Schizosaccharomyces pombe: one gene and its partner. Each later gene encodes a partner of the first gene's protein in a complex. Each region holds a gene or a part of one and is shown in the gene's direction. Other genes may lie near its edges. The genes, in order: slx8 and rfp2.

The links.
Region 2: slx8 (region 1) and rfp2 share a complex: the UniProt entries of both Schizosaccharomyces pombe proteins name them as parts of the E3 ubiquitin complex.

Annotation. Positions count from the first base shown.
Region 1 is NC_003423.3:1,287,534-1,292,267, reverse strand, and holds slx8 (SUMO-targeted ubiquitin-protein ligase E3 Slx8), read left to right. Parts: upstream 1-2,056; 5' UTR 2,057-2,307; coding exon 2,308-3,117; 3' UTR 3,118-3,253; coding exon of another isoform or gene 3,254-4,032; 3' UTR 4,033-4,069; downstream 4,070-4,734. Other genes in the region: U3 snoRNA associated protein Dip2, read right to left, coding at 1-1,704; AP-endonuclease Apn2, read right to left, coding at 3,254-4,032, 4,070-4,734. UniProt on the Schizosaccharomyces pombe protein: Mediates ubiquitination and subsequent desumoylation/degradation of sumoylated proteins and proteins containing SUMO-like domains. Acts as a critical suppressor of gross chromosomal rearrangements (GCRs) during normal cell cycle progression.
Region 2 is NC_003424.3:1,678,255-1,682,028, forward strand, and holds rfp2 (SUMO-targeted ubiquitin-protein ligase subunit Rfp2), read left to right. Parts: upstream 1-1,913; 5' UTR 1,914-2,159; coding exon 2,160-2,181; intron 2,182-2,234; coding exon 2,235-2,830; 3' UTR 2,831-3,217; downstream 3,218-3,774. Other genes in the region: wdr70 (WD repeat-containing protein), read right to left, coding at 1-1,388, 1,445-1,714; 1-phosphatidylinositol 4-kinase Lsb6, read left to right, coding at 3,699-3,774. UniProt on the Schizosaccharomyces pombe protein: Mediates ubiquitination and subsequent desumoylation/degradation of sumoylated proteins and proteins containing SUMO-like domains. Involved in maintaining genome stability where it acts in the cellular response to DNA damage.

The DNA of each region.
Region 1 (4,734 bases):
GAATTTCAACGAATCCAAATAGTATACCTTGACGGTATTATCTAATAGTGAAGCAGCAACGAAACGACCATCAGGTGAAATTTTAACCGCAAGGACATCGTCTGTGAAATCTATTTGTCGTGTTTGCTCTAATTTCAACGTGGTGACTTTTCTAGTGGTACCTGGTACGAAATCAAAAGACGATTTTAGAGACCAGAGTTTGACTGTGTGATCGGCAGAGGCAGTCGCGAAGTAAGTGCCATCGTGACCAACCGCTAAATCCCAAATCGCGCCATCGTGAGCTTGGATACGTTCGATAAGAGAAGAGCTAGCAATGTCATAGACTTCAAGTTCTCCTGATTTGTAAGCGGATACGATACACTTGTCGTTATTTATAAAGCTAGCAGCAAGTACATAACCACATTCGATTGTACGGATACAAGATGTGGTTTTCTTGTTCCAAAGCTTCAAAGAGCCGTTAGCACCGCTTAAAATCACATCGTGATTAGCGGACAAAGCCAAGGTACGAACGTCAGCACGATGACCAGGAATTTCAATGGCACTTATACGCGAAGCCCGTTCAGTTAATGGTGCAGCAGAACCTTCAGATTTGACATCCAAAGCGTAAACTTCAATTGAGTTATTTTGAAGAGATGTTACCAACGTAGGTGTACGATTTCCTGGTATCCAAGCTACAGACGAAGCACGAGCAGTGGTTCGAATTAGAGCAAAAGGTTCATATTCGTCTTTTAACGTGATCGAAACGTCCTCAGACTTTTTACGACGGCGTCGTCGATTCAGAATCTTTTCGAGCTCCGCACTTGATCGAAGGCGAAAAACCTCCAGAAGACGGTCATGAGCTTGGAATACAACATAACGGTTTGAAACGTCGTAAGCCAAGGTGATGGGACGGTCACGGCTTTGACGGGTAAAGGTACCTAATTGCTGAAATGCTTTAGTAGTTGGAGTGAAATTATTGTCATCTGGAAAACTGATTTCCCAAACTTTAACATCAGAACCGGTACCAGCAGTGAGGCACCGTTTGGCGTCTGGTGAAACACACATAGCCCAAATTTCGCCTTGGTGGTCGACATGAGTCTCAACGCAATGCTGAATAGACAAATCCCAAAGCTTCATAAAAGAATCTTTGCCAACAGACAAAAGAAACGAATCAGACGATTTACTGTCAACGTCCATGTCGCCGGAATCAATATCTGTGTCCACCACTGTTTCTTCAGCTGTATTCTTCGAAGGAGGTGTAATGAACAAAAGCTTGGTAATTTGGTCCTTGTGTCCACGTAGTCTAAACAAGCCGGTTTCAGCTACAATATCCCATACAATAATGTCGGTATCCATGCTTCCACTGGCCAATCTTGTGCCCATTTTATCAAAATCCATGGTAGTAACAGCACTTTTATGACCATTAAGAGTTATTAAGAGCTCTCCATCTTTCCAAAGACGTATAGAACCATCTGCATAGCCCACAGCGTACATTTCATCAAAGTTTGCAATACAAGTAACTTTTGCCGAACAATCAGAATCCTTCCATTTTGATAGTAATTGCCCAGTCTTTAAATCCCATTCCAAAACAGACTCAAGACCGCCAACAATGGCTCTGCCTACAGATTTAGCAGACGAAGAGGGTTGACCGAGAATATTACATCCCGAAGACGCAATGACACCAAAAAATTCGGTTGGTTCGTACCGCGTATAGCTTTTGACCATTGCGTCTACCCAGACCTAGATTAAAAAAAAGGCGTTGGTTGATGCTAAGTATATACACTCCTCTAATATTCAACAATTTGGAAAAGAAATAGCGATATACATTGTTATCGTTTTTTTATTTTAGCATTCCTTAATGCACTCCATAATACATTTTTGCATAGTTTATGGAATACTCATAATAATGTCGGTTGCGCAGTTTAATGAACTGCATTGAAAAGATTATTGATACACAATTAAGTTTTACCAGCTTTTCTGTTCTCTTTTCTTATTTGAAATACCGCTTGCGCTATTGAATGTGCTCATGAAAAAGGTCATAAATATTAATTAGACTAGCATCTTACAACATTGTGGTAGTGAGCCAATTTTTCCATGTAGACTTCAAAAATCATAGGTCTACTAAATTTAATTTTAAACTTGTTGGCAAGTTGCCAAAATAATTGCTGTTTGCGTATATTGACGTTAACACAATTCTCTTTTATTATTCTAGCAAGCCTGAAAAGCATTTGACAATCGATTAGGATACGATCAAAATTATCCTAATATTAGCCCATTAATCAATAATCTATAAACTATTTTCGAATTTCAGGACCAATTGGCAAAAAAATGCCACCCGCACATAAGAGAGATACCAACGTTAGAAACTTATCTGCACCATACAATATCCCATCTCAATCCGCTAGAGTCGCAGCTGGAAATGCAGCAATAAATAGGAGACGTTCTTCTCCAGTAGAGAATTCGCCAGGAAACGGATTTCCGGTTTCAGAAGATGCAACAGACTATCCTTCAGGCACTACCTCTGAGAATGAGTCTTTACCACTGAATCGTGCACCAAGGTCGCTAAGAGAGGTTGCTTCGGAGCTAGCACAAGAAGAAACACTACCTGTTGAAACCTCTGATTTAAACATAGATGTGGAAAGTGAAGTATTCGACTTGGAAGACATTAATTTTCAGAATGATGCTGATGACATAAATCAAAGATTCACCTACAACAATCATCCAGCTTCCGTTGAAAACAGTTTAACAAATGTTAATAGTATTCACGCGCAACCTACTACTATAAGCGATATGATTGATTTAACTGATGAGACTTCCTATGATCCAAGAAAACAAAAATTTGAACAGGGAAAGAACCCATCGACCACCAACGCCGAAATTGAAAAAGAAGAACCTAGCAAAAAACAGGTTGTTCCATCTTCACAACGACTAGCTGATTATAAGTGTGTAATTTGTCTGGATAGTCCGGAAAACCTATCTTGTACTCCCTGTGGGCATATATTTTGCAATTTTTGTATACTAAGTGCTTTAGGTACAACGGCTGCCACACAAAAATGTCCGGTGTGCAGAAGAAAAGTACATCCAAACAAAGTTATATGTTTGGAAATGATGCTCGGATCTCAAAAAAAGAAATCTTAACCGTACAAAATTCCGTATATACATATTAAGAATGTTAATGAAAGATGTGTGATGCACTGCTCAATGCTTTTTGCGGTTTATACACATCAAAATTGAGAATTGATTAAGAGCAAGTTATGCTAGTCATTACAAATTTTCAGTCCTTTGAATTTGCTCTCCAATCTGAGTCCCAGATAAAGAACCTGCATTGGAACGGTTGAGTATCTTCCTCAGAAACTGCATTTGAGTTTTTAATCAGTTCACCAACCGGTCTGGCACAAATCCAAAACTTCCGCCCGTAATTGATTCCCGGCTTCCTCACTGTCAAATACTTGCAAGGTTCCTTGTGACCCTCACAAAGTGGAGGAGCTCGTTCACTGAATATTTGCTTCCAGGCGTTCCCGTTTTCTACTTTTTTTTTTACTGTCAACCCTATGTCAGATTCATTATTGTTATCAAGGACCTCAATCGAAACGTCTTCTGTTTTATTGGTTTCTTCTTTCTCTTCCTTTTGCTTCGCAAAAAATGAAAGAAGCTTCGATTGTTCTTTTCGTCTTCTCTTTTCCGGTGGGTAGGCATCGACGTCTATGACAGAGTTTGCACGAGAAACAGTTGGTGAGGAGCCGCTGGACGCAGAAGCAGATACGTTTTCGCTCTGAGTGGGTGAGTTGTTTTTATTCTTTTTCATCGAATTGAAATGTTGGAACATTGAATGAATATTTTTTGATGGCCGATAGGCTGAATGATGCGCCGTTGATAGTAAAGGTGGTTCTTTTGAGTGACTTAGAAAGTTGGACAACTTTTTTCCTTCATATTCTTCTTTTAAATCTAAATATACGGGGCAATGATCTGAACCCATGACCTCAGCCATAATATCTGCATCTTGAACCCAAGGTAATAAATCGGGTGTTGCCAAAGTGTAATCAATTCTCGTACCTATCCATTGTAAAAAAAATAACAATTCAGAACTTACCATAATTTGTGGGCCTTGTATTAAGTCTTGTATTCCAACATGTAAACATTCCTTTCCGAGTAGGATGTTGAATACGGCCAATGTCCAACAGTAGTCCCAACCTGCTTGGTAGTAATAAATCACGTATCCATTGTCTTGATTCCATGATGCTTGGAATAAGACTCTCTCGAATAATGTCTTTTTGATCAGCAGTGTCAATAGGATTACACAAAATATTCACATCCCCAACGAGAATGATTTTTCGATTTCCTTCCTTTATCAATCTTTCAATTCTTTCTCGTAAGGCTTTATAAAAGGCCCGTCGATATTCTAGTCTATTTTCTCCAGAGTTTACTGGACAGTAAACACCGATTAGGATGAACATCTGAAAATCTAATAATATACACCTTCCTTCACTATCAATCCAATTAGCAGTTTTTCTGTCAATGTCTTTTGGGAAAAATCCTATCTTTTCATGCTCCGGTGCTTCTGAATATGAATATTTTTGTCCTCGTACTGGCAGGATGCCAGTAATTCCCTCTTCTGCTTTCACTGGAATAGCAACATCTTTTTTTACATAAAATCCAACCCCACTATAGCCTTTTCTGATCTTAGGAAATGTAAAATAACTGTCGAATCCCTCAACAACTGCATATTGTTGAGGAAAGCTGTCTTTCTGCATTTTC
Region 2 (3,774 bases), on another chromosome or scaffold:
GGAGTTGGCTGAGTTTCCGAGTACATTTTCGTGAACATAGGATTTGATTTTGCAACGTCAGCATATTTGAGAAGGGCCTCACGAGGATCTTCATTAAGCATGGTTGCCAAAGGAATGTCATCGACAGAGTTTTCTTCTAGCAAGCGACCAACTTGAGGCTGCCGAGAAAGCTTAGGATCTTTGCGTACTGCATTGCGCCGACGCCGTGCTTCCAAAAAATAAGCTGATGCGGATTCAGTCGTTTCCTCTACAAGCCCAAAATCAGAAGTTCCAGCGGATCCACTCAATGAGTTTATATGCACAGTGCTAGATAAGTCGTCATCAATATGCTTCGACTTAGGAGGGCGCATTGCTGCATCCTTAACTCCTCGTATGGACTCATTAGGCGAAAAGAGAACATATGCGTTGCCATCAGCCGACCCCAAAGAAACCTGATTTATTTTTTCGTTCCAAGAGACAGCTGAAACGGAAGCAGTAACCGTCGACTTGGAATCGAAGAATAACGTAGCTTTCGTATCTAATGTCATTGCGTCTAAAACGAATAAAGGTGCTTTCATGCTATTGACAGCTGTAGAACCAGCAAGTATAAGCTTTTGGGTAGGAGAAAATATTGCGTTGCCTCCAGCTTTAGGAGTTAAAATGTCTATACGCTCATTCACACATTTATTAGAATTTCGCAAGTCCCAAACACGAAGGGCATTGTCTTCTCCTCTACTTAACAAATAATTTCCGTCCTGTGAAAAACTAAGACAGGAAATACCTTGTTGTGGTAAATGTGCATCCTTAATTTTCATAACAGGTCGTTTAGTACGAGAACCCTTTTGCCAAAATTGTATGGATCCATCCAGTACAGCAGTTGCAAAATTATCGGGTTTTGCTGGATTCCAAGCACAACTTGTAACTGGTATACGAGACAGTCCGGTGTGAGAACCTTCTGGTACATGGACGAAAACTTCCAATTGCGATTTTGTGCGATTAACATCCCAAATACGCGCAGTACTATCATACCCAGTAGTTAAAAATATTTGAGAGCTATCAGGCTGCCAGCAGCCATCAGTAATTTCAGCTATATGTCCTTTTGTATTGTACATGTTACGGATATATTGATCTCCCTTACTAAACCGTACAATCAACGAGCCATCACGGTCATATAAAATCGGCTGAGAATGGGTATACAATGCAAGGATTTGGTTTTTAGTAGAGCAACTTAATTTGCTCACTGGATAACGACCAACATTGTCAGCATTTGTGTCTGTAGGATCGATAATTTTGAAAGGATGAGGATTAGTAGCAGACAAGCCATTTAAGTCCCAACAATGGATTGTGTTGTCCAAAGATCCGGTGTAAAAACGTGACCCATTTTTGTCAAACGTAGTAGTGGTAACAATCTTACCAAAAATTAGTAAAAATGTAGTAAAAGCAGAAAACTACAAAATCAACTTACCTTAGAATGTCCCGGAAACATAATTTCATGCGAACCTGGTACGCCAACGTCCGTAATGTCGTCCTCATTCTCTTCGCTATCCCAATCCTCAGAGTCTGAGGATTGTAAAGTAGTACTCTTTGAGTTGAGTTTTGATTCGGATTCTTTTTCTACACTGTTTATCAAAAAGCTTTCTTTCGGTCTTATGAATCTTGCAATTAACGCATTTATATCGTATGTTTGTGCTTGCTTGCCAAACTGTAAGGGAATTGTATTATTTGTGCCATCCATTTACGAAAATCTGGATATTGTAAAATTTTAGAGGCTGATATATTGTTTCCCTATTATTTTTTTCAAATAGCCATTTAACTAACTGACAACAAGTTGTTCAAAATATTTTGTAACGAAAAGTGCAGGGTGAGAAGTTTCAATTACTGAGTTGTGGGGTGTGGCAGCACTACGTACTTCATTCTACCCAAGTTAGCGATTTAGGCTTTGCTAATTGATTTATCTCCTAAGAAGATTACATTGAAGCTTACGAGGAGTACATATTTTCGTTGCCGCTCTAAAAATAAAGATTTATAGCAGTGTGCATATTCTTTTTCTTCAACACACAGTGATGCCGAATCATTTGAATTTCACGGGGTTGATCGATTTTACCTACAAGTTGCATTAAAAAAAACTGATAAGATTATAATTGCTTTGGGATTTAATAAAGGTTTATGCTTTGTGTTGTATGAATCTGCATGGACTAGAATGTAAGTGAAAATTTCGGTTTATAGAATATATGTTAACGTCTACACGTTTCTAGTACCAGGAAGGGATCAGAGGTTAAGCCCTGAGGTTATTGACCTAACCGAAGATATAGAAGATGACGGTGCGGATGTTTCAGAAGTTACTTTGCTAGATTTAACGAGAATACCAGAGTTCCAGCCTCGTCGAAGGATTCGTACAAGCCGTAACCACCTTGACGCTAATCTTTCTAATGTTCCAACTATTAATTCTATTCCTTCTCCAGTCACTCGACCTCCCGTGGCTGTTGGAGGGGGGATATTCTATGGTGCACGAAGGACTAGAAACAGGTCTCAAACCCAACGGAGAACCCTTCTTGAAAATGGGTTTCGAAATTCAAGAAAAAAAGCTCAGGATTCATCAAATTCTATCGCCGAAAGGGTATCTCCTCCACCTGGGTTTTGTTATGATGTCCATCCTCATAATAATATTGCATGCGCAAAATGTGGAAATGAGTTAGTAAGTGATGAGAAAAAATCCATTTTTGCTGCAAAGTGTGGACACTTATTTTGTTCTACTTGTGCAAAAGAGTTACGCAAGAAGACTGTGCCTTGTCCGGTGCAACATTGTAGAAAGCGTATAACCAAAAAATTTATATTTCCTTTATATTTATAATTTATCGATTGGATACTAAGTGTTATCCATAGAGGATATTTGGCGGTTAAGTAATACGCTGGCGATTTTTTGGAACGTTTTGTTTTGCTTTAATAACCAGTAATGGTTTTAAAGGATACGAGTTTTTGTAATGCTTATAAGAACTAAGGTGCTCTATTATCCTCAATGAAAAGATTTATTCATTATTGACGATTATTTCCCCTTTTTTCAATTATTTATTCCCGTCTTCGAGGCTATCACACAAAAACAATTGCTTTTCTTTCTATATTGATTCATCATTTTTCGTACAAGGGAAATTAATTAGAGCTTTTCTTACCCTAAAACCTTCTACAAAAAACAAATCTGGATTCAATCTTTTCAATACACTATTTAGATGAGTATTATTTGGGATACTAGGAATTCTCGTAATGTTCAATTTCATGTTGAATTTATTTATTTACTGCAAATTAAAATATTCTTCAGCTAAAAATCTTAGTATATTCAAGGGAGTTTCCTGAAAGAGTTTTTTCTGAATTTCAAATATACAGTAATGTTTGTTTATAATTTACAGTATCTAATCGATTCAAGTATTTAAACATTGTATATATAATATATATATACTGCTTAACGTACTAAACCCACAGTGTGCTACATTACGTTACTCATTGCAGCAAAGATTATGAGCAGTTGATTCAAGTGCTAACCATGTTCCAAGTGTAAAAACAGAGACTTTGCTAGGCAATTTAGGGAAAGAGATACGTTAGCAGTGATTTGACACGCTCATTAATATCATAGTATCACTTTTCCGTTTCGGTCATTCTAGAGTTTTATTTTAAAAAAGCCGAGTTTCGTTGATTCTTGCTTTTGTGCTGTACTTGCACAGGGCGTTATGGAATCGACATTCCATTCAGATACTCTCGATTCTTTTCCAAATTATCAGGAAAATAGTTTAAACACTAATGAGG